Arabidopsis thaliana: one gene and its partners. The protein of the gene in region 3 interacts with the protein of the main gene of each other region in a biochemical or structural test. Each region holds a gene or a part of one and is shown on either strand. Other genes may lie near its edges.

What was found.
Region 1: the proteins of CUL1 (region 3) and RBX1 form a complex in vitro, tested with the Arabidopsis thaliana proteins (2 studies listed by BioGRID).
Region 2: the proteins of CUL1 (region 3) and IAA7 form a complex in vitro, tested with the Arabidopsis thaliana proteins (2 studies listed by BioGRID).
Region 4: the proteins of CUL1 (region 3) and COI1 form a complex in vitro, tested with the Arabidopsis thaliana proteins (one study listed by BioGRID).

Annotation. Positions count from the first base shown.
Region 1 is NC_003076.8:6,956,154-6,960,138, forward strand, and holds RBX1 (RING-box 1), read right to left. Parts: upstream 2,159-3,985; 5' UTR 2,069-2,158; coding exon 1,933-2,068; coding exon of another isoform or gene 1,879-1,932; intron 1,806-1,878; coding exon 1,755-1,805; intron 1,661-1,754; coding exon 1,601-1,660; intron 1,188-1,600; coding exon 1,116-1,187; intron 943-1,115; coding exon 871-942; intron 790-870; coding exon 752-789; 3' UTR 507-751; downstream 1-506. Other genes in the region: AT5G20560 (Glycosyl hydrolase superfamily protein), read left to right, coding at 1-228; AT5G20580 (TMEM192 family protein), read right to left, coding at 2,637-2,726, 2,880-2,942, 3,127-3,219, 3,384-3,443, 3,597-3,656, 3,838-3,922. UniProt on the Arabidopsis thaliana protein: Component of the SCF (SKP1-CUL1-F-box protein) E3 ubiquitin ligase complex, which mediates the ubiquitination and subsequent proteasomal degradation of target proteins.
Region 2 is NC_003074.8:8,192,945-8,197,698, reverse strand, and holds IAA7 (indole-3-acetic acid 7), read right to left. Parts: upstream 3,094-4,754; 5' UTR 2,932-3,093; coding exon 2,693-2,931; intron 2,136-2,692; coding exon 1,882-2,135; coding exon of another isoform or gene 1,871-1,881; exon of another isoform or gene 1,625-1,870; coding exon 1,489-1,624; coding exon of another isoform or gene 1,485-1,488; exon of another isoform or gene 1,177-1,484; coding exon 1,115-1,176; intron 1,024-1,114; coding exon 983-1,023; 3' UTR 544-982; downstream 1-543.
Region 3 is NC_003075.7:1,126,784-1,134,314, reverse strand, and holds CUL1 (cullin 1), read right to left. Parts: upstream 5,801-7,531; 5' UTR 5,652-5,800; exon of another isoform or gene 5,558-5,651; 5' UTR 5,502-5,557; exon of another isoform or gene 5,457-5,501; intron 5,033-5,456; 5' UTR 5,001-5,032; coding exon 4,870-5,000; intron 4,784-4,869; coding exon 4,684-4,783; intron 4,510-4,683; coding exon 4,324-4,509; intron 4,242-4,323; coding exon 4,194-4,241; intron 4,105-4,193; coding exon 3,901-4,104; intron 3,813-3,900; coding exon 3,735-3,812; intron 3,535-3,734; coding exon 3,445-3,534; intron 3,363-3,444; coding exon 3,282-3,362; intron 3,160-3,281; coding exon 3,100-3,159; intron 3,020-3,099; coding exon 2,990-3,019; intron 2,886-2,989; coding exon 2,799-2,885; intron 2,708-2,798; coding exon 2,558-2,707; intron 2,485-2,557; coding exon 2,429-2,484; intron 2,243-2,428; coding exon 2,122-2,242; intron 2,030-2,121; coding exon 1,868-2,029; intron 1,783-1,867; coding exon 1,639-1,782; intron 1,557-1,638; coding exon 1,338-1,556; and 6 more. Other genes in the region: LD (Homeodomain-like superfamily protein), read left to right, coding at 6,063-6,227, 6,521-6,548, 6,702-6,832, 6,962-7,329, 7,424-7,517.
Region 4 is NC_003071.7:16,671,980-16,677,640, reverse strand, and holds COI1 (RNI-like superfamily protein), read left to right. Parts: upstream 1-1,776; 5' UTR 1,777-2,154; coding exon 2,155-2,645; intron 2,646-3,330; coding exon 3,331-3,811; intron 3,812-3,986; coding exon 3,987-4,793; 3' UTR 4,794-5,148; downstream 5,149-5,661. Other genes in the region: AT2G39950 (flocculation protein), read left to right, coding at 1-883; ISA1 (isoamylase 1), read right to left, coding at 5,458-5,661. UniProt on the Arabidopsis thaliana protein: Required for jasmonate-regulated plant fertility and defense processes, and for coronatine and/or other elicitors perceptions/responses. Seems to not be required for meiosis. Required for the regulation of some genes induced by wounding, but not for all.

The DNA of each region.
Region 1 (3,985 bases), on a different chromosome or scaffold from region 3:
CCTTTGGTGGTGTCGGAGACCGGGTGGCCCTCTGCCGGGAATGGAGGCATGACGACACCGGCTCTTCAATATACGTACATTGGTAACTTTGTGAAGCATGTTGCAAGTGGTAAAGGAACGCCTAAGAGGCCAAATAGTAGAATTGATGCGTATATATTTGAGACGTACAATGAGAACCAGAAGCCAGTTGGAATCTATCAGCATTTTGGGTTATACGATCCTTACTGAGACGACGCCCATGTACACGCTCTTCTGATCCTCGATGTTGTGTTCAAGTGGTCAGTTTTTACTGTTTCTCTTAAGAATCTGTGTTGTCAAAATAATGCTCTAGTATTGTTTGTTTAGGGGTTGAAAGACCCATTTAATAAAACTTATGGTTTATAATCTAAGTGGGTTTCGAGTTAGCCTTATTAGAAATTTCACTTTAGTATTTGGAACTACTAAATTGAAGGAAAACACAATTGAGGATCAAAAGAGCGTTTGGTACCCAGCTCCTATGTTTTTTTACGAGTAAAAAACTCTTTGCAGGATTTTTACTTTTTAATTTTGAAATCAAAGACGTCACCCAAAGCACAACCATAATAGGTTTAGTGAACACTGAACAGTAAATCTCTGTTTCCACAAATTGTAAAATACAGTACCAAAAAAAGGGCAAAAACTTGAACAATCTTTAGTTATCATATGCGGTGGTAACCAAATGAACCTGATGTCTTCACGATTAGACACATGCTTGCTGGAACCATTTGTTGATTTAGTGACCATATTTCTGAAACTCCCACTCACTGTTATCTGTTGAAACAACTCAGCAATATTAGCAAACAAACAAAAACTGCATACTAGTCAAGAAGCTTAAAACCAAGAAACACATACCCAATGGACAAACTTGACGAGTCTTTAGCCATCTGCTGATGCAGTGAAAGTGGAAGGCGTGATTGCAAACCCCTGCAAGTACATATTGAGTATCTTTCGTTAGGGAAGGCACTAAATAATTTATGTATATCCACTTGAGTTGTCACATTATAGAAAAAAGATTCGAAAAGGTCATCACACAATCACATACATCTTAAAGGAATACTTCCTACTTTCTCTAATACTTCCTAGCTAACAAGATTCACCCTCCAAGTGGTCATCTTTCATTGAGCAATCAAGAATACAGAAATACTTATTGCAGTTATTTTGGTCGTCCTCTGAGTTTTTAATTCATCATCAATCGTACAATCAACTGCAAGACTATGAAAGCATGTAAACACAATAACTACAATTTGGTCTCTCTCTCTCTCAGAAAATCTTTAAAACTCCATAAATCTAATCAACTGTACTACTCATCGACCAATCTAGATTGCTGCAAAACAAGGAACAGGGTCTGCTCTCAAATAAAGCAAAGACATCTATCAGAGTGATACTACCACATAAGTAAAATTCAATGTCAAGTTTTAAAACACGCACTCAGAGATACTAAAATTGTTTCACACAACACTTTCGCATACAGTTTTGTGTTTCTAGATTCACAATTACGATAGCTACAATTATAAACCAAATCAAGTTTCCAAACAAAAAGCAACGATTGAGATCATGATCATAGAAGAAGAAAAATGCTTACCCCAAGCTACAGTGCACTCTTCACTTGTGGCACTGGCCTGATTAGCCTGACACTCGATACCTAACAACAAACCAAAACACAAAAACGAAATAAGCATAAACATTCAACATCATCGTTACAAATTCCAAAATCAATCGATTGTTTTAAGACTTACAAAGATCCATGATGTGGTTTCTGCAGATCGCACAGTTGTCAACAACGATATCTGCAACCAAAACAAAGATCAATCAATCAATAAAACTCTTAACCTAACCAAAAATTAACATCGTAACACAAACATCGAAACATCGAAAGACCAATTGAAGATAGTGTATAAGGATTTTCGAGGTTACCCCAAGCCCAGAGAGCAACGGCGCTCCACTTCTTAATTTCGAATCGCTTAGCTTTCTTGTTGGAAGACGACGCGGCTACGCTGCTGGAGGCTTCTCCGGCAGGAATCATGGTAACGTCGGAGTCTAGAGTCGCCATTAATCTCTGATCGGAAAGAAAATTTAAACCCTAGAAAAGCCGGAGAAAAATATCAACGTTTGAGCTGTCGCTGATTTTGTTGTAGAGAGAGATTGTAGAGGAAGAAGAAGAGAGATATATAAAGCAGCTTTGGGCTTTGCCTGTATAGTGGGCTTTCGTCGGAATTAGATTCCCGTAAATTTCCATAATTCGGTTTAAGGTTTCCTTTTTTTAATCTTACTCATCCTACGATTTACATAAATATTTTAATTTTTCCTTTATTATCCCAACGATTTTTATTTATTTAATTGATAAATTAAATATTTTTAAGCAAAAAGATTACGGAAAATATCTATTTTATATAATAAAAAAAACATATATATATATTTTTTTCTAACTATTCCCAGAAGATTTACAATAACTATATGACTAATTAACTAATCATTACATACGCTTAGTTCAAATTAACTGGAAAATCATTACATCATAAAAGCTTAGCGTATTCAATGCATCAAGATGTTAGAAAATAGTGTCAAGATATTTTTCTACAAGCCATAAGAGTTGCATATAGTTAGATGATGTATATGCTTCATGCCACCTGCCTCTGGTCTCTGAGAGCTGAAACTTTCTTCCGCAGTTCAATATTTGATATTCTCTCCACCTCCAGAGCTCGTTCAAGCTACACAATCCGTTGGTTTTGGTTTAGCCTCTCATAGTAAACAAAAGGGTTTGAATTCGATAAACTCGATATTGGCTTAAGATTTTTCACTATCATATTGCTGCATCTCTAAAACATACAATGAAGAGAGAGAGAGAGAAGAGAAGATTGTACCTTTGCAGCTCGCATACTCCATTCTCCAAGAATAGCTCTTAACCTTTCATTTTCTGCTACATACTGTTTCAGGAGTTTCAAAAACAAAAGATGATGAGTTCAGGGATCAGAAAAAATGTGTAGCCCTTGCAAATTGTTTGATGCAAAAACAATTCATGGTAAAGCTGTGTTGATGATAAACATGATGTGATGCTGTGAAAGTATGTTTTGTTCTCATATGTTCTTATGTTTATAGATAGACTCGAACCTGATTATTGGTATTCCGGACGTGTTGTATCTCTCTATCTCTCTCAGAGATCAGAGATCGAGCGAGATTAAGCTCTGAATGGAGTTGATCCACCTGCAAGACACACAATTTTCATTTAAAGATGCTACATCAAGGATACTAGCCTTGAAATGTCAATCAACTATGATATGTTTTCCACCAAATGGGTAAAAGAGAGATGAGAAAGAAAAATTAACCATGGGAATTTGCAAGTTTATCATTTGTTAACCGAGCTTTACCTCAGCAGATAGTGTTCGTAATTCCTGATCTCGAGTTGCCACAAGATGCGCCAGATCAACCTGAAAGTTTAACATTTATCAAATGCAAAAATTAAAATCCCAGTGGAAGGAAAAAGTTATACATTACTTTTAAGAAAATTTATTAAGAATGTTGTTAGAATGTGTACACGCTGATAAAAAGAAGTCAAAAATTCAGAATGGAGCAGTTCAAACCTGAGGCGTGCTACTACCATTCGTTTCATATTTACTTAAGGACTCCTGCAAACGCAGAATCTGAAACAAAACAAGAGAGGTCAGAGACTCACTCTAACGAAAGCATGGGAAAATTCAGAAAATTAGGGTAGACAATGAAGAGCTAGAGAGAGCATTGAACTTAGAATTACTAGTAAGAAACATCACAAGCATCAAGATTCAGAAATGAAGTACTCATGATAAATATTCCATGGATTGTCACCTCTTCACTGAGATAATGGAGATTCTCGCGTTGATATTGCAGTAGAGCCATTTGTTGATCAGAAAGGCGACCGGCTTCATGGTATCTGTGTTTCAAGCAAAAAAAACGAAGTAAGACTTGAGAATTGTAAAAACATTTGCCATTTGCA
Region 2 (4,754 bases), on a different chromosome or scaffold from region 3:
GCGCAAAAGAGGTCAAATTATACTATTTGGAGGCATCAACGACTTACATAATTTATATGAGATTATTAATCTATAATATGAATACAATATATATATCTAATGATCCATCATCCATCCACCAGTAAGAACCATCAATAACTCGCAAGTCGTAACAAATTGTAAGTGAGTAACAAACATCCGAATATTAAAACTTTTATATCCTCTTTTGTAACTGTATCTTACTCACTTTTTTTTTAATAATGAAAACAAATTATATTGATTTCAACATATTTTTGAAATGATGACTAAATTAATCTTGTAAAGCCGCTACACATATAATCATCAGTTAGTTTAAAATATGACAGATTACGGACCACATGTCCCAAAAAATTAGGATACACAATTTATGATGAAATGACAACAAACCAACTTTAAATTCTACTTCTTATTTTTTTTGTGGGTTGTAGGATATGTTCAATTGTTCATTAAAGACTTCATCTAAAAGTCAATACATAATCAGAGTTTTTAAAACTAAAAAACGCTAGTAATGGTTAGAGAGTAGAATTAAAAAGCTAAGATTTTATTGGTAAAATAGTAAACATAACAACGAATTATTCATTTTGGGAAAAAACTATTAGATAACACACACAAGAAACGACAAGTAGCAGAGTAGGGATCAAAACACATGTACATGTACACACACCTACATACACACATTTATATGTATGCACATATCAAGTTGTGATTGATCATCAAACCGACAGACACATGTTGGGCAATAAATATGACACAAACACAGAGATATTGAAGTTTCCTCTCTTTTGGTCACATTACAAGTTTGTCCACATCTTACTGGTAAAATACTGCCCTATATACCCATCAAGTATTTAAAATTACAACACACATATATAGGTGATAGCCACATACAATCATAAAAATACATATAAAATCAAGAACCCGTCATATTGTTGATCATTGATGCTTCTTTTTTTTTATTATTAATTCAAGATCTGTTCTTGCAGTACTTCTCCATTGCTCTCGGAGCTATAACCAAGAAAACAGAATTATATTAAAATAAAAAGAAAATTGGTAAAAATTGAAAAACAAAAAAAAAAAAAAAAAGTTAGAGATGTACCAAGTCCAACTGCTTCAGATCCCTTCATAATGCGCAAACGTTTGCAAGACTCGACAAACATTCTGAAATAGGTATTCAAGTTTACGGTTAGAACATTAGAATATGAGTCGTTAACATTTAAAGTTTATTCTAAGGTTTTTGGCAATAATATGATGATGTGCCAGCTACGAATGAGCTCTAAACATATCGATACTATTGTATAATTTTTGAAAGATCCTCTTGTCTCTTGCCAACCAATGCATGGTTGTACGTATTTATAACACATGGATGTTGAATATCTTTGGCTTTGTCTCTACCAATTTCGGGAAATGTGGTTAACGAGTCAAGTTATAAGTTATAAAAAAAAGTATATGAAACGATTAAATTTGACTCACTCCCATGGGACATCGCCAACGAGCATCCAGTCACCATCTTTGTCCTCGTAGCTTGGCACATACTCAGAGCTATTCAGCAGATTCATTAGCTTGCTCTCGTTCATGAAATCTATCATTCCTTGTGCTCCATAGTTTCCTTGAAGATATTCAAGACATTCAAAAATCATATAAATTTATGTGTCATTATTGTGTAATATATATAATACATATTTAAGTTGTATACATTTAGCAAAATCTCATCTTGTTAATATGTATAGGGTTCGAATGTATAGTTCTATGACTCTAACTCGGTAAGGTTCATGAGTTTTGTATGAATAAATGTAGTAAATGATATACTTTAATATACGAATATAGTTTTTTCACACTTTCCGATTTGAAATTTCTAATACGTACCCATAGTAAAGGAGCTGAACATTTTGGCCAATGCATCAGAAAGATCCTGGTAGCTTTTGTACATCTTGAGGTCAACTTTCCTCAGATATGGAGCACCGTCCATGGAGACCTTCACCAAGCCGGCTCCGGCTGCTCCTCCACCAAAGTTCCCGGCCTTCTCACTGCTGGCCTCCTCCGCACCACTACTGGTCTTCTGCTGAGTCATCATGTTCTTCCTGTAGTTCCTCACAGGTGGCCATCCCACCACTTGTGCTCTACATAGAACAACATTATTTAGATAGGTGTATATCAACCAATGTAATTATTAGTTACCATTACTGCCTTTATGGGCTTGATTGTAAGTTATAACATGTATTATTTCATGTTTGCTTGTACGCATGTATGTATTGGTGTTTAAGTTTCAACCACGCTTTAATTATTATTATATTATTTCTTAGTATTATATTGATAGAAAACAAATATAACTTCAAAGAATCAAAGTTATGCATATAAATTTTAACAAAAAAAGGTAATGTATATGGGAAGTATATATATATATATATATATATATATATATATATATATAACTAACATTACAAATTTCAAGAATTTTTAGTTTATTCATATGTTTATGTAAATCCCTCACAATATTTATGTTCTGCGAGGACATATAACTATGAAATTTATATATATTCGAATATTCTAAGAACTTAGACATAGATGTGTATAAACACGTATATATGTATATATATGGACTGGAAAAAACTAAGAACTTTTTAACCAAAAAAAAAAAAAATCTAAGAATATATATATATGTAAATGTGTAGCTTACTTAGCAGGAGGCTTAGAAGGATCTTTAAGGGTAGTCTTCTCCTTGGGAACAGCAGAAACGTTTTTGAGATCAACGGAGCCTTCTTTGTTAGATTGAAGATTGAGCATGAGATCAACGGTTTCGGAGAAGCCTCTCTTGCTTCCCACCGCCGATTTGGCAGGACTCTCAACTGCTTCAGCGCCGCCGGGGAGGCCGAGACAGAGCTCCGTGGCCTTGAGGTTCATAAGTTGGCCGATCATGTTACTTGTAATAGATTAGAAATATTGTTTCTCTCTCTGAAAAGGTAAGAGGGGAAGAAGAAAGGAGAGGAAGGGGCAATAATAATATAAGGAGGGAGGATGGTGGTGGGGTGTATGTATTCGTGTAATTGCATGTGCATGTCTTTTGCTCTTTTTTCTTCATTGGTGGGGTTTATGACACGTGGGCTTGATTAGATGTTAGTTAATCATTTCTTCTCTGTTACTACAAAATTAAGCTAAGATAATTTTGTTTTGTTAATCTTCCATCTAGAAAGTTTTGAATGGTGACCGGGAAATTATGTTTTAATTAACTACGAGGATCAGGTCACATATTGATCATGATATGTAATGTAATTATTGTAGAACCGCGAAAATCCGGAGAGAAAACTTTGAAAACGATTACAAAGATTCCAAAAATATGATCATTCTTATTTTTGTGACAAACTTCACTGAAAAACTCGCCGAAAAGTTAGCCGGAAATACTTTGTAAAATTGAAGTTCCAACAGTTACGTGGTAGTGATGTTTTGTGATACTATCCGAATTCAAATAGTATGTATGAAGTCAAGTTATTCTTGACAATATATATATATACATATATGATATATTTTATAAAAGACTTTGGTATGATAATAAAAAGATGGGACATATTTCTCATATCTTACCAATTTGAAGAAAGAGATGATCTATGAGAATATTGAGAGCAACATATCTCTTACATAACCAAGTCATCTTGCTCCAATAGTAAAAGAGTGAAAAAATTTGCCACTTGAGTTCATGTAATATTGGCCATCATGGTTCGAATTCTAACATTAGTTTTTCCGAATCTCATAATTGGTGTTTGGATCTAAAAGTATTTTAGCATCATCTTTGTTATCAAAAAATAAAAAAAAAGACATATATATCTCTCACATCTTACCAAAATTTACATGTAATGTTTGCTTGACTTTTCGTATCTAATAGTCGGACTAAACCAATATGGGTCTTTTGACTCTGACGTAGTACTTATCATCGACAAATTTTCCTAAATAGCACATTAGATCACATATATTGGTTGTATAATTGTGTTCAGCATTTTTACTTAGAAATATATACAAACAAACTACAAAAAGTTTTGTTTGTTCTTCTCGTACGGTTCTGACATTTTTTTTAAATTTATTTGGTTCTGACATTAAACATACATTATAGTTCATAGTGAGCTACATCGTCTATTCTGGAGTTTCAGGATGTAGTTTGTTTATAAATTTGTAATGGTTGGGTTAGGTCATGTAGTTTTAAACATATTTCAGCTGGTTCTACCACTCTGTGTAGCTTTAGTATTTTAGCATTTGTACTATGACTCTATGAGTCAATACAAAGCTAGCATATAACTAGGTAGTATATAATACTTATATAGTATGAAACGAATTCAGATTGTTTGTTAAAGAAGAAAAGAATAAGTTCTCACAACATGTCTATATATAAACTATGAATGTATTAATTACTTCTATGTTTTGTTAATAGCCTATTTGTTACACTTTGTCTCCTCTGGTCAACTGTTCATCGCATATAAAGCAAGTGGAATTGGGCGGTGAAATTCCGTTAACCAAATTTGGTCAACATTCTAATTAGTTTGTGTCAAGCAATACAACTATACAAGTCACGTATATTATTTTAATTGTTTACGGTCTCCCGTTTTCTCTGTATCATCTTGGTTATTAAATGTGTCTTACTAAAAAATTAAAAATAAAAGAATAGTACTACTCATTAATAAGCATAGACATTTGTGGTATATAAACAGAGAATCTATTAATTGGTCTAGGTACATGTTCTTAGTGAGGACACT
Region 3 (7,531 bases):
ATTTGCTGATTCTTATAATTTGCACATCTCCTCGCAGCTTTTTCATCATAGTGCAATGGCATGATTCTTTGTTTGTTTAACAGAATCTCAAGCAAATAAAAAGTGAGAAACATTTGCTCGATGGAGTAAAATGACTCCGCACCTCAAAACATATATGAACAGAATTTCTCCATGTCGTATATATCATTCTCTGTGTAGGCTCCAAATATCGTCTTTGATGATCCGTTCATAATTCATATTAACCCAAAAAAGAAAGAAAAAAGCACATTGGAATCAAGTAATATAATCCACCAGCTCCACCATTAACCCGTTCAAAATTGTTATTAACCTTAACATACCCGTCTTTGTATCCCAATAATATTTCAGATCATCATACAACAGAAAAACGGCTTAAAATATAAGACATTGGTCCTAAGCAGAAACTATTACGGTTCTGGTGGACTATAGCTAATGACGTAGATGATTACAATGATTTTTAATGTTCGGCGATTGAGGAAGGCACCTTCCGTCGGTTCATCTTTGTCTCATTAGCGTTCGATTATAAGAAATCTCATATTATTTGTTACGACTTTCCCATCCGTCAATATAACACAGAGATACATAAAACTTAAATAATATGATCAAGGATAAATATATTAGAAAGCAGAGATTCATTCATTAAGGCCATTTCTCCATCTCCATTCAATATTTAAGAAACAAAAATCCACAAGGCAAATTTGCATCCCAAAAAAAAAGCACAGACCGAATATTTTTTAAAAGAGAAAAATAGCGAAAATGAAGCGATAAATTTGTTTTAGGACAGTCTCCATATGGACTTCTAAATATACAAGCAGATTCCTTTCATGAGCCAACCACTTCCATAGTTGTTGTTTTTTTGCCCTAAGCCAAGTACCTAAACATGTTAGGATTCTCCTTGTCCCTCTCCAAATAATCTCTGGTTATTAAATCCTCCATACGCTTCTTGATCGCTTTGATATCAGGCTGCAACAAACATCACAAATCCAATGAGTTTCATCACCACGTGCATCTTCAAATGTCTCTGTATAAATATAATTATATGTATAATTTACCTTGAACATTCGGCTAAGTTGCTCAACACACTCAGAAACAAGTTGTTGATGTCCCAATACTTTCCTGCTCTTCATGATCCTGACAATGGCAGCATCAATTGCATATCTTCTGTCTTTATCGACATCTTCAACGACTTTCTTCCTTTCATCAACTGGGGGAAGAGGGATCTGTGACGCAAATCACCCAAGTTGATGTTAGTTATTAACAATATGTAAAACATGACATAAACTTGCAGACTTTTGAGTATTACTATTAACGTCACAAACCTTGATTCTGCGCATTCTATCGGTGAATTTGGAGTTGAACTCAAAGGCATCATTCTGGGAGACAGTCTTGGTGTTTGGCTCCTTAAGGAGTATCTTGTACTTAGCACATGACAAGGAATGAAGCAACCTAACTAGATCTTCATGGCTTAGGTTCAGTTGAGCCAAGATCTCAGTGTAACTTAACTTGTCAGTTGTGTTAAAGAGTAGAAGCACAGCAGCCTATAGAGACAGAGAACGTGGCATCAGAGTCCGTTTACAGATAGAAAATATATATCAGTATTTTCTGAGAAACATACAGTACCTGGTAAGTAGACACTATTAACTCGATGGCCTTTTGATCAAACTTCCCGTTTATGTGACAAGTTCCCAGTGAATAGATCCACGTAAGCTTCCTGTGTTTCGTTTTCGTTTCATAAAACCCTTTGAAGACTTCAACACACTTGATCTGAAACAAAGAATCAACGAATTAGATCTATCAGAAGCAAACAATCTCCTTTTCAGGTATGTAAGAAAATCAATAGAGTTTTTACCATTTCACTGGGTAGATTTATGTCAAATGATTTGTAACTTGGCCAGAAACCAGTGGTAAGAACAGTGACGGTCAAGTCAATCCCTGGGTTTGCAGCAGGGTTACTGCCTAGATAATCCTCGAAACTGTTTTGGTTTTCTCTTGCCAGTGTCAAATCCGTCACCTGTCACCAGCGGATTAAAATTATATAGAAAACATAAGTCATCAGAGCACGCACCGCTTTAAAATAAGAAACACAGGGACACTCAAACTAACCATGCCCTCCATCTTAGAAGTAAACTGTCCACCACATTGTTGCTTGAGCTTTGTCAGGATACTTCTCTCATGATCATCATTAGCACTGCGATCAAATAAGAGCCTACGGGCCAGCTTCTTCCTGCAATCAAAACCATAAACAAAATGGCTTGCAACTCAGTAATCCAACTTATGTCAATCAAATTGTATATTGTTGCAAGGCATCTCCACAAAAAGCTAGTAAAAACAAAACATTACAAGAAAAACAAAGAGTAGAAGCAAAAAGAGTCGATCCACAGATAAAGAAAGATTGAAGTTGGAGATAAACCTGTAGAACTCAGCGAAAAGATCCTTGTCACTTATGTATGCAAGCAATTTGACAACCTGTAACAACATTATAAAATTCAGGACCACTCTTTGGAGACTTGAAAAAGAAAAAACAGTTTGACAAAAGTACCTTCTCAAGCGTATCTTCGATAGCTTCATCACTCAGCTTTTCACTTCCCCCCTTTTTGAGAATATTGTCGCAAAATGTTGCAAGTAGTTCTGCACTTGAACTTCCAGCAACCGTTTTGTTACAAAAAATCTCAAATGCCTCTTTCAAAGCCTAAAATATGTTTCCATAAACTTAGGTTAGTAACACAACATAAACATGAATAAGATAGACAAATGACAAGTGCGCAGAAAGAACATTAGACCTTATGGAAGAGGGTGTGGTTCTGGAAACACTCGGTGACATATACCATGTATTTATCATGAAGTTCAATCACTTTTCTGATAAGAACCTGGAAATAATGAAAGGACAGTGAATCGTTAGCAATTTTATCCCCAAAAAAAATGAATCTCTAATTTCCAATATATCTTTACTACAATCGGTTTATAATTTTACCTGTTCCTGGACGCTAGCAGTATTTGCAACCTGTGGAATAAAAACGATCTTAGCAATCACAAACGAAGAAAGAAGAGTTATCCGAATATAACAAGTAAGATAATATGAACCTGATTAGTAGCCGTGTCTTCGGCCTGTTGGACAAGAGCGTTACCCTCTGCTGTGACATGCTGTGAACGAATAACAAGTTACAGTTAATGTCATACAGTAATTAAGAGACTGCAAGTAGACCATGAAGAAAAGACTATCCATTTGCTAATCATAAACAAAAGAATGAAGATAGGTAATAAACCTGCTTAAAGATGTTTGCAACAGGTTCCAAGCCTCGCAAAATTTTATGGTAAAGCCTGTACATCCTGGAGAGATCATCCACCTGAAAGTAGACAAATATAACCATTAAAGAAATAATTAAGTCACTAACTACTCAACAATAAAAACAAAAATACTTGCTCTACCTTGTCATCTCTTAGCAATGCACGGCACCCTGAGTGTTCTTTTTCTAGAAGCTGACTTGCAAACACAACCAGCAATTCATGTTGTACTTTCTGCATACAAAAGATTACTATACAAGTCAAACAGATATCAATCTTTAAAATCAAGTATGCCTGGACTACGCATTTAAAAAGAGTCTGGAAAGTATCTCAATACAAATAACAAAATTCAAAATCAAGGCTTATGCAAGATCTATGGTTTCTTCATCAAACCTACAAGTACAGGCATAATTACATAGTGCATAATAACCAACCTCAACCAGCTTTGGCTCACTGCTTGAGTGTAGGTAGTGAGCCACTCTCTCCCTCTCCTTCTTTAGACATTCTTCAGACTGTAACATGAAAGCACAGAAGTTAATAAATAATTTCAACTATTGTGAAATAAAAACAAATTTTAGAAAATGATATCACGAGTCATGCCTTCAACATGTAATCAGGGCAAGAATCTTCCTGAATCCAGCTTGATGCCTTGCGAGAATAATACGAAGAAGTATCTTGAAGCATGAAGCTTTCAAAATCTTCTTCATACCTCTCCATCTGCCCCATTCCAATCTCTACATAGATATCTAATACGTTTTTCAGCAGGGCCCTATCAATCTGCTCGCCCTCCCGTTCTTTATCAACCTGACAGAAGAACAGGTCATGTTAGACCTTGAATCAGGCAAAAGCCAGAGTTGGATGTAACTGCACAACAATATTGACGCCATACTTACAAGAGCTATTACAGCTTGTTTGACCTTAGAATGTAGCTCATTATAAACCTGAAGCGAACAGAATCAAGGAAAAGTTAAAAATATTTCAATACAACTGAAAGCTATAAAGCCACAGGAATGAATGCCATACCAGGTCACGGAAGCATGTCAGGCCAACTTCATTCAGTGGTGGAAGTGATCTCCGAGCAATGAAGTAACGGTCAAGGTAGTAGAAGAAGCGGGATAGCCATCTGACCATTACTTTATGGTTTGACCATCTTTTAAATAGCTCCCGCAGCATAAACTCATCATGCTTCTCCCTCAACGCAGGCAAAACCTAACCACAGACAACAAGAGAGCAAACATTCAAAACCGTTTGAATCAACTTAAAACCAAGAGGGGACAGGACTTCTTGACATATGAAACCATGCACAAAAGTGGCATCTTAAAATTCAGAGGTAGTAAAAACGAGAAGTTTATAAGAAAGAAACTAAATATCAATCAGACTCACTGTTGAGTTAATATATTCCTCAAATGCTTCCCGATACTTGTCATAAAGCTGCTGTGAGTAATCATGAGGAGGTTTCTGGGTGCACATGTTGTAGATAGTCCTGAGAATCAAATAAATTCCCCATCATAAGTATCAGGACAAACAGCCAAACCGCTATATAAGGTAATAAACAAGTATAAAACCTACGTATAAAGCATCATATATTGCTCAGAGTCAAATGCTGGCTCATTCAATCCTTCCAGAATCCGTTTCAGCTTAGTAATTCCAGTCTGCATATAGTCCCATCCTTGCTCCAAGTCAATAGTCTTGCGCTCCATGTTGACAAACAACTTTTCAAGCTCTCCTCAACCTAAGTTAACCAAAGAACAAGGAGAAAACCAAAATTTAGAACAGCAGTATTAAGCAACACAATGAAATGACTGAAGCGAGAGAGTCAACAATATTTATCATTCTTCAGAGGTTATAATAACACGTTAACACCCACATTATCGAATGCGAAACGAGTATTATCACCCAAATCAAACCCAAACTATCAGATTGTGCGCAAACGAGGACATAAGCATCAGAATATACTCGAGAAACAATCAATCCATGAGATAAACACGAAATTACACAGTAGAAACGCAATCCAGAGACTCCGACGTAACCCTAACAATCTCGATCCCACAAAAATTCAAATAAAAACCTAGAAAGACGAACAATCAACAGAATGATAAAAAAATCAACTGTCGTATGGAACAAAACAAGCGAGAATCCGACAGAAATAGTGATACCTCGAGATCTTAAACCCTAATAATCAGAAAATCGCGTCGCCGTACCCCAAACAGACCCTGACGATTACCGATTCCCGATTACACAGGATCGGCGAGAGCTGCTGCGATCGAAAAAGAAGCGAGAGAGAGAGAGAATCAAAACCCTAAGAATCGTTCAGGAAAAAAGCGTAAAATAGAGAGAAAGAGAGACGAGACCTATGAGAAGGGCGGTGAAAAGATATCTCAGGAAACAAACTCGTTCTCTTCTATTCTATTATTTTCAGGTCTTATAGATTTAATTATTTTTATTTTATGTCAACTAATATATTAGTATAATATTAAACAAATTTAATTTCTTACCTTTTCAGAGATCTACATCAAGACGCTGCGTTTTATAATTTTTCTTTGTAAAGTAACTTATTTACTTTTATGCCCCTTTATTTTGCCTTCCTTACTCAAACCCTAACCCGAATCGGCTTTTTGACAATCCGAAATTAGGTAACCATGTTCATTGAATTTATCGTTTCAACACATTCGAATCACTGAGTCCTACGTTTCAGTTTAATTCCCTGATGCACATTTTGAATTCGGTTTGCGTATTGGTCTTCGAGTTTTCCGTCGGCGGCCATGGACGCGTTCAAGGAGGAGATAGAAATCGGGAGCTCGGTGGAGTCTTTAATGGAGCTATTGGATTCGCAGAAGGTGCTTTTTCATAGCCAGATCGATCAGCTCCAAGATGTCGTCGTTGCGCAATGCAAACTTACCGGCGTTAATCCCCTTGCGCAAGAAATGGTGGGTTATTGTTTCTATGTTTTTTGGTATCTAAAGTTCGTGTTTTATTGGGGTATGGTGATATGGGCAAAGCTGAGAGGGACAGGTCATTCGGATTTTGGAATAAATTCTTTGAAGGGTATTGAGTCTAGCAAAAATTAGAGGTGTTTTTGGTATAAATTCATATAGCTCGACCTCTCCGTTTCTTCTGTGAACTGTAATGGTGATGCTTCAACTGTTTATATGTCATTTCTCTGATCAAGTAATCATCTCTGTTAAAGACATTAATCTGTTTAATTTTTTTGTTGTTTCAGGCTGCTGGTGCTTTGTCCATTAAAATTGGTGAGTCATCTTAGGATTCGTGAGATCTTTTGGCATAATTACGTATATCACAGAGAATGTTTCAATTCATTGTTGCTCTCTAGGTTCATTAAAGGCATACCCAACTTTTACGTGCTCGATGCCTAGTATCTGATGAATTTGTAAATATTTCAGGAAAGCGGCCAAGAGACTTGTTGAATCCTAAGGCTGTTAAGTATCTACAAGCAGTTTTCGCAATTAAAGATGCTATTAGTAAGAGGGAATCTCGGGAGATAAGTGCTTTATTTGGCATCACAGTCGCCCAGGTATTGTTCTTCTACATGATATGTACTCTTTTTTGCCATGCTTTTAGAATTCCATGTCAGTTTAGATCTGTCATGTTGAGGTACTCATGAGACTTTGGTTTGTCTCTTTATTATTTTCTTCAATGGCAGGTTCGAGAATTTTTTGTTACTCAAAAGACAAGAGTGAGGAAACAGGTGAGGCTTTCAAGGGAGAAAGTAGTTATGTCCAATACGCATGCTTTACAAGATGATGGTGTTCCGGAAAATAACAATGCCACAAATCATGTTGAACCCGTTCCCTTGAACTCTATACATCCGGAGGCATGTTCTATAAGCTGGGGTGAAGGTGAAACAGTGGCACTTATTCCACCTGAAGATATTCCACCTGACATCAGCGATTCAGACAAATACTTTGTTGAGAATATATTTTCTCTGCTGCGTAAAGAGGAAACATTTTCAGGCCAGGTGAAACTAATGGAGTGGATCATGCAGATACAAGATGCTTCTGTGCTGATCTGGTACTAGTTGGGGGTTCTCTTTCACCCACTGTCTTATTTTATTTTATTGTTATTATATTCCCGTCTTGACAGTCATTTTCTATATGTGCCACAGGTTTTTATCAAAAGGAGGGGTTTTGATACTTACAACATGGTTAAGTCAAGCTGCTAGTGAAGAGCAAACAAGTGTCTTACTTCTTATCCTGAAGGTACGAGATTAATT
Region 4 (5,661 bases), on a different chromosome or scaffold from region 3:
TATCTCCTCTAGAGATAAATCAAAGGGACACAGTGAAGGCCATTTCTCAATCTTTGATAATTCATCCATTACCTCTATCCCCACCAATGTAGAGGGTTTTATCCAGTCAGAAGGAGAAGTTGAAGAAGCTACTGAGAATTATAATGGAATCAGACAAATTATTGCTTTTGAAGAAGCAGAGTCAACACCAAGTACAATGACCGGACCTCCCCCATTTCCTTTGAAGATGGGTCCACCAGTCTTTTCTCCTTATTATTGCTGGTGCCCTCCAACCACTTCATCGCTTCACGCACCATCTGCCTCTTATCAGTTCCCTCCACTATCCATTGAGCTACCTTCCCTTCCGCCACTTTCCTCCTTATTACCAGCATCGGGATCAGATGGATTCTTGATCCCGTCATCACCGCTCGATCTCTCTGACATCCCTCCATTACCATTAGTCCACCACATACCCATTCCAGGCTCATCATCATCATCATCCCAGCAACAGATGATGATTCCTATAATGTGCGACCCTATTGTTCATATTCCAGTTATCGATATCTTCTCTTCAGGTCAAAGCTATCTGGTAAGCGCTGGACCCACCGGGATAATATCCACGGGCATCCCTCCGCTCCCAGTGGAGAATGATTCGCTGGTCGAGAAAGGTGCAAGAGAAACACTACGATTGCTCATAAGCGGAGCCAATGCAACAACATCTACACCTTTGAACCATCATGGAAGCAGAGGTCTATACAGTGTGAGCCGGGATGTGAGTGGTGTGAGCTTGTTTGCACCTATTGGGTTGCAACAACCGAGTTCAGTTGAGGGAGGAGATGGTGGTGGTGAGAGTGTGAGCTCAAGCGAAGCAGTGCCTGCGCCTCCCAGAGAGACTTCTGGTTAATTTTTTTGGTTCTTTGTAAGTGTGGTCCGAGTTAAGTGTATAGAAAACTCATCTCTCGCCTAGTTTTTGGTTTTGTTCAGCCCAAGTCTTTTGGTTTCAGGTGTAATTAGTCGGGTTTTTTGTAGCTTGCTTATATTACCTTTGTTATTTCCGAGTTTCAAATGAAGCTAAGAAATACGATCATAATAAAAAAGTTCTTTTGCAGTATTCATTTTCTTTCATGGTTCCCTCCTTATTCATAGTCATTGTTGTTCTTTCTAATACTTTTCCTGAGCTTTTTTTTTCTATTGGAAAAACTTTTGTCACTGAAAGAAATTTCAATGTGATTGGTTCTTTTCGCAACTGTAATAAGCACTAAAAGTTAATAATTTGCTGCTTTTTAAGTCTTGTTGCTGAATGATTTAATCCCAAAGACGTTAAAAAAAAGACATGTAAATAGTCTTTGTTCCAAAAGTACCATTTTGAGCGCTTTCTTTCGACAATTGATGTTGAACTTGTACCAAATAAACCTTGAAAATCATACATCATTAAATGTAGTTTTTTGTTATATACTTATATTCATATGGTCCATAATATATAGTTAACCATATTATGGACCATATAAATTCATGCAGTCAACAACTTTTTTTTTCCTCATTAAAAGCTACTAATACTGTAGAAAATTTTTATCTTACAAAAGAAAGGAGAATTATTGTATTTTTATTTTAATCACATATAAAGCAACCAAAGATAACATATACTAGTATTTAGTATTTTTAAATTTTTTGCTTAGGATTCAGGTTATTAATACTCTATAAAGAAATAATTAAATCTATCCATCGAATAAATCACACAGCTTATTGGATCAGTTAAATATTCTAATAATATTGTCGTGTAGCTGAGATCTGACCACTGCAAAAATGAAAAGAAAAACATAGAAGTAGAGAGAAGATCGCATCTCGACCGTCAACTTCAGTGTATGAAATAATGATCGTCCCACTTGATCCTCAAAAATATTATTAACCAAACAAAATTTGATTCCATCGTCCCACTTTCTTCTTCTTCCTCCCAATCCGCCTCTTCTTCCTACGCGTGTCTTCTTCTCCCTCACTCTCTCAATCTCTAGTCTTCTCCGATTCACCGGATCTTTCCTTTCTTACTTCTTTCTTCTCACTCTGGTGGTTATGTGTGGATCTGCGACCTCGATTTCAATTCGAAGTCGTCGGTTTCTTCTCTAAATCGAATCTTTCCAGGATTCGTTTGTTTTTTTCTTTTGTTTTTTTTTCGATCCGATGGAGGATCCTGATATCAAGAGGTGTAAATTGAGCTGCGTCGCGACGGTTGATGATGTCATCGAGCAAGTCATGACCTATATAACTGACCCGAAAGATCGCGATTCGGCTTCTTTGGTGTGTCGGAGATGGTTCAAGATTGATTCCGAGACGAGAGAGCATGTGACTATGGCGCTTTGCTACACTGCGACGCCTGATCGTCTTAGCCGTCGATTCCCGAACTTGAGGTCGCTCAAGCTTAAAGGCAAGCCTAGAGCAGCTATGTTTAATCTGATCCCTGAGAACTGGGGAGGTTATGTTACTCCTTGGGTTACTGAGATTTCTAACAACCTTAGGCAGCTCAAATCGGTGCACTTCCGACGGATGATTGTCAGTGACTTAGATCTAGATCGTTTAGCTAAAGCTAGAGCAGATGATCTTGAGACTTTGAAGCTAGACAAGTGTTCTGGTTTTACTACTGATGGACTTTTGAGCATCGTTACACACTGCAGGTACACTTACTTCTCAGTATCTTGTAGCTACTTTGGCTCGATGCTTTTGAGGTTTAGCGACTCCTTATCATTTCCTACTTTGACTAGAACTCTAGATGCATTTGGCTCTTTTTAAAAAACTTAATAAGTCGTCGTTGTACAAAGAACCATATCTTGAGTTTGTGTTTGTAAAGATTTGATCTTCTTTAGCTCAATTGGGTAAGTTGTAACTTTGGTGGATACTTTTTGTCCTTAATGAAATTGGTGAACCTTACTTCATTTGATTTCTTAGTACACTTTACACTAAGAGTAATATAAGCAGAAACATTTATTTCAGAAAGTTTCAGTATTTAGGCGTTCATGTTTGTCTTATATCCTTAATTGCTTTGCAACTGTTATGCTTGCTATTAAAGCAGAAATTGCAATGATCTTCAGTTATTTCTCAATTGGGGAAGTATAAACTTTGATCCGGATTTTATCTACAACCAATTTTTTCCCTCTTTGGGGAACATTCACTTTGTTTATGCATAAATAGCAAAAAGATTGATTTCTGACATCTTCAGTCTGCCAGAGTTTATGTGTATTATTTGGTTTTTGAATCCTTGATTCGGCTGCTGCTGTTCTTCATATTCAGTTTTAGCGGGAAATCCAAATATCTTGAGTTGTTTCTCACTTTATTCATGCAACTGTCTGTTGTCTTGTCCAGGAAAATAAAAACTTTGTTAATGGAAGAGAGTTCTTTTAGTGAAAAGGATGGTAAGTGGCTTCATGAGCTTGCTCAGCACAACACATCTCTTGAGGTTTTAAACTTCTACATGACGGAGTTTGCCAAAATCAGTCCCAAAGACTTGGAAACCATAGCTAGAAATTGCCGCTCTCTGGTATCTGTGAAGGTCGGTGACTTTGAGATTTTGGAACTAGTTGGGTTCTTTAAGGCTGCAGCTAATCTTGAAGAATTTTGTGGTGGCTCCTTGAATGAGGATATTGGAATGCCTGAGAAGTACATGAATCTGGTTTTTCCCCGAAAACTATGTCGGCTTGGTCTCTCTTACATGGGACCTAATGAAATGCCAATACTATTTCCATTCGCGGCCCAAATCCGAAAGCTGGATTTGCTTTATGCATTGCTAGAAACTGAAGACCATTGTACGCTTATCCAAAAGTGTCCTAATTTGGAAGTTCTCGAGGTAAACGTTTAACTTTGCTGTCTTTACTACATACTTGGGAATGCGTCCTTAGTACTAAATTGTGTTCCTATTTTTTCACGAAATATTTGGGGAGATAAGGGATATGAATGCAATATTGGTTCTCTTTAGTCTTTACATCTATATAAGACTGACAACACTTGTTGTTTTTCTTCAGACAAGGAATGTAATCGGAGATAGGGGTCTAGAGGTCCTTGCACAGTACTGTAAGCAGTTGAAGCGGCTGAGGATTGAACGCGGTGCAGATGAACAAGGAATGGAGGACGAAGAAGGCTTAGTCTCACAAAGAGGATTAATCGCTTTGGCTCAGGGCTGCCAGGAGCTAGAATACATGGCGGTGTATGTCTCAGATATAACTAACGAATCTCTTGAAAGCATAGGCACATATCTGAAAAACCTCTGTGACTTCCGCCTTGTCTTACTCGACCGGGAAGAAAGGATTACAGATCTGCCACTGGACAACGGAGTCCGATCTCTTTTGATTGGATGCAAGAAACTCAGACGATTTGCATTCTATCTGAGACAAGGCGGCTTAACCGACTTGGGCTTAAGCTACATCGGACAGTACAGTCCAAACGTGAGATGGATGCTGCTGGGTTACGTAGGTGAATCAGATGAAGGTTTAATGGAATTCTCAAGAGGCTGTCCAAATCTACAGAAGCTAGAGATGAGAGGTTGTTGCTTCAGTGAGCGAGCAATCGCTGCAGCGGTTACAAAATTGCCTTCACTGAGATACTTGTGGGTACAAGGTTACAGAGCATCGATGACGGGACAAGATCTAATGCAGATGGCTAGACCGTACTGGAACATCGAGCTGATTCCATCAAGAAGAGTCCCGGAAGTGAATCAACAAGGAGAGATAAGAGAGATGGAGCATCCGGCTCATATATTGGCTTACTACTCTCTGGCTGGCCAGAGAACAGATTGTCCAACAACTGTTAGAGTCCTGAAGGAGCCAATATGATATGACCCAAAAAACAGGTTTGTATATAAAGATTTTTAGTCTCGAGTTTTGGGGTTTCCACAAACTGTGTACTATACTACTTTGGTTCTTTTTTTGTTTCATGTTGTGTCGTCGATGTTTTTGGGAGATTACATAGAGTCAGTCTTGTTTGTTGTATGGTCATTACTTCTTTATTTTTCCTCAGGGGTCTGTTTACTTTAATTTCTTTAATAAAACCCCGAAGATTTTGAGAGATTTCTTTATCGTCCATGGTGTTGACTTCTGAGAGCTATATTTGTTTGGATTGGCATCTGAAACTTTATTTGTGGTTGTGATTGTTTTGATAACATTAGTAAAAAGGCAAATAATAGAGTACTAATAATCATTTATAACTTTATAGATGAAAACTTTGATTTCTTGTTCTTACACGAATTCTGAAAACGATGTAACAAGCTTTTGATTGGATTAACAGACGATAAAGGAATCTATTAACAATGAGTGGGCATATCTGAAGCCGACCAAAGGTACCCCATTCAGATTCTTCTAACCATAAAAGGAACCTTTACTATAATACATTATATAGGTAACGAAATAGTTGTCTGTATATGCATCTCATTCACATTTGAGAAGATTCCTTCATATGTTGTGATTTTGTCTAATACGCTTTTGGAGGAATCACGCAAACTCAGGGGTCTTTAATTGGTGAAAGAAGGAGAATGATGGATGAGTAACTGAGCATTGGGTACACATTTGCATCTAAGAAGTGCCTATACTGCTTCATCGCCGTTTCTCTCTCTGGGAGATCCGGTGTTATGCAGTCGTAAGGGCTCGGTTTGCTCGTGTCTACAAATGGCTCCCATCGGTATCCTGGCCTATTCGGTAGCGAAAC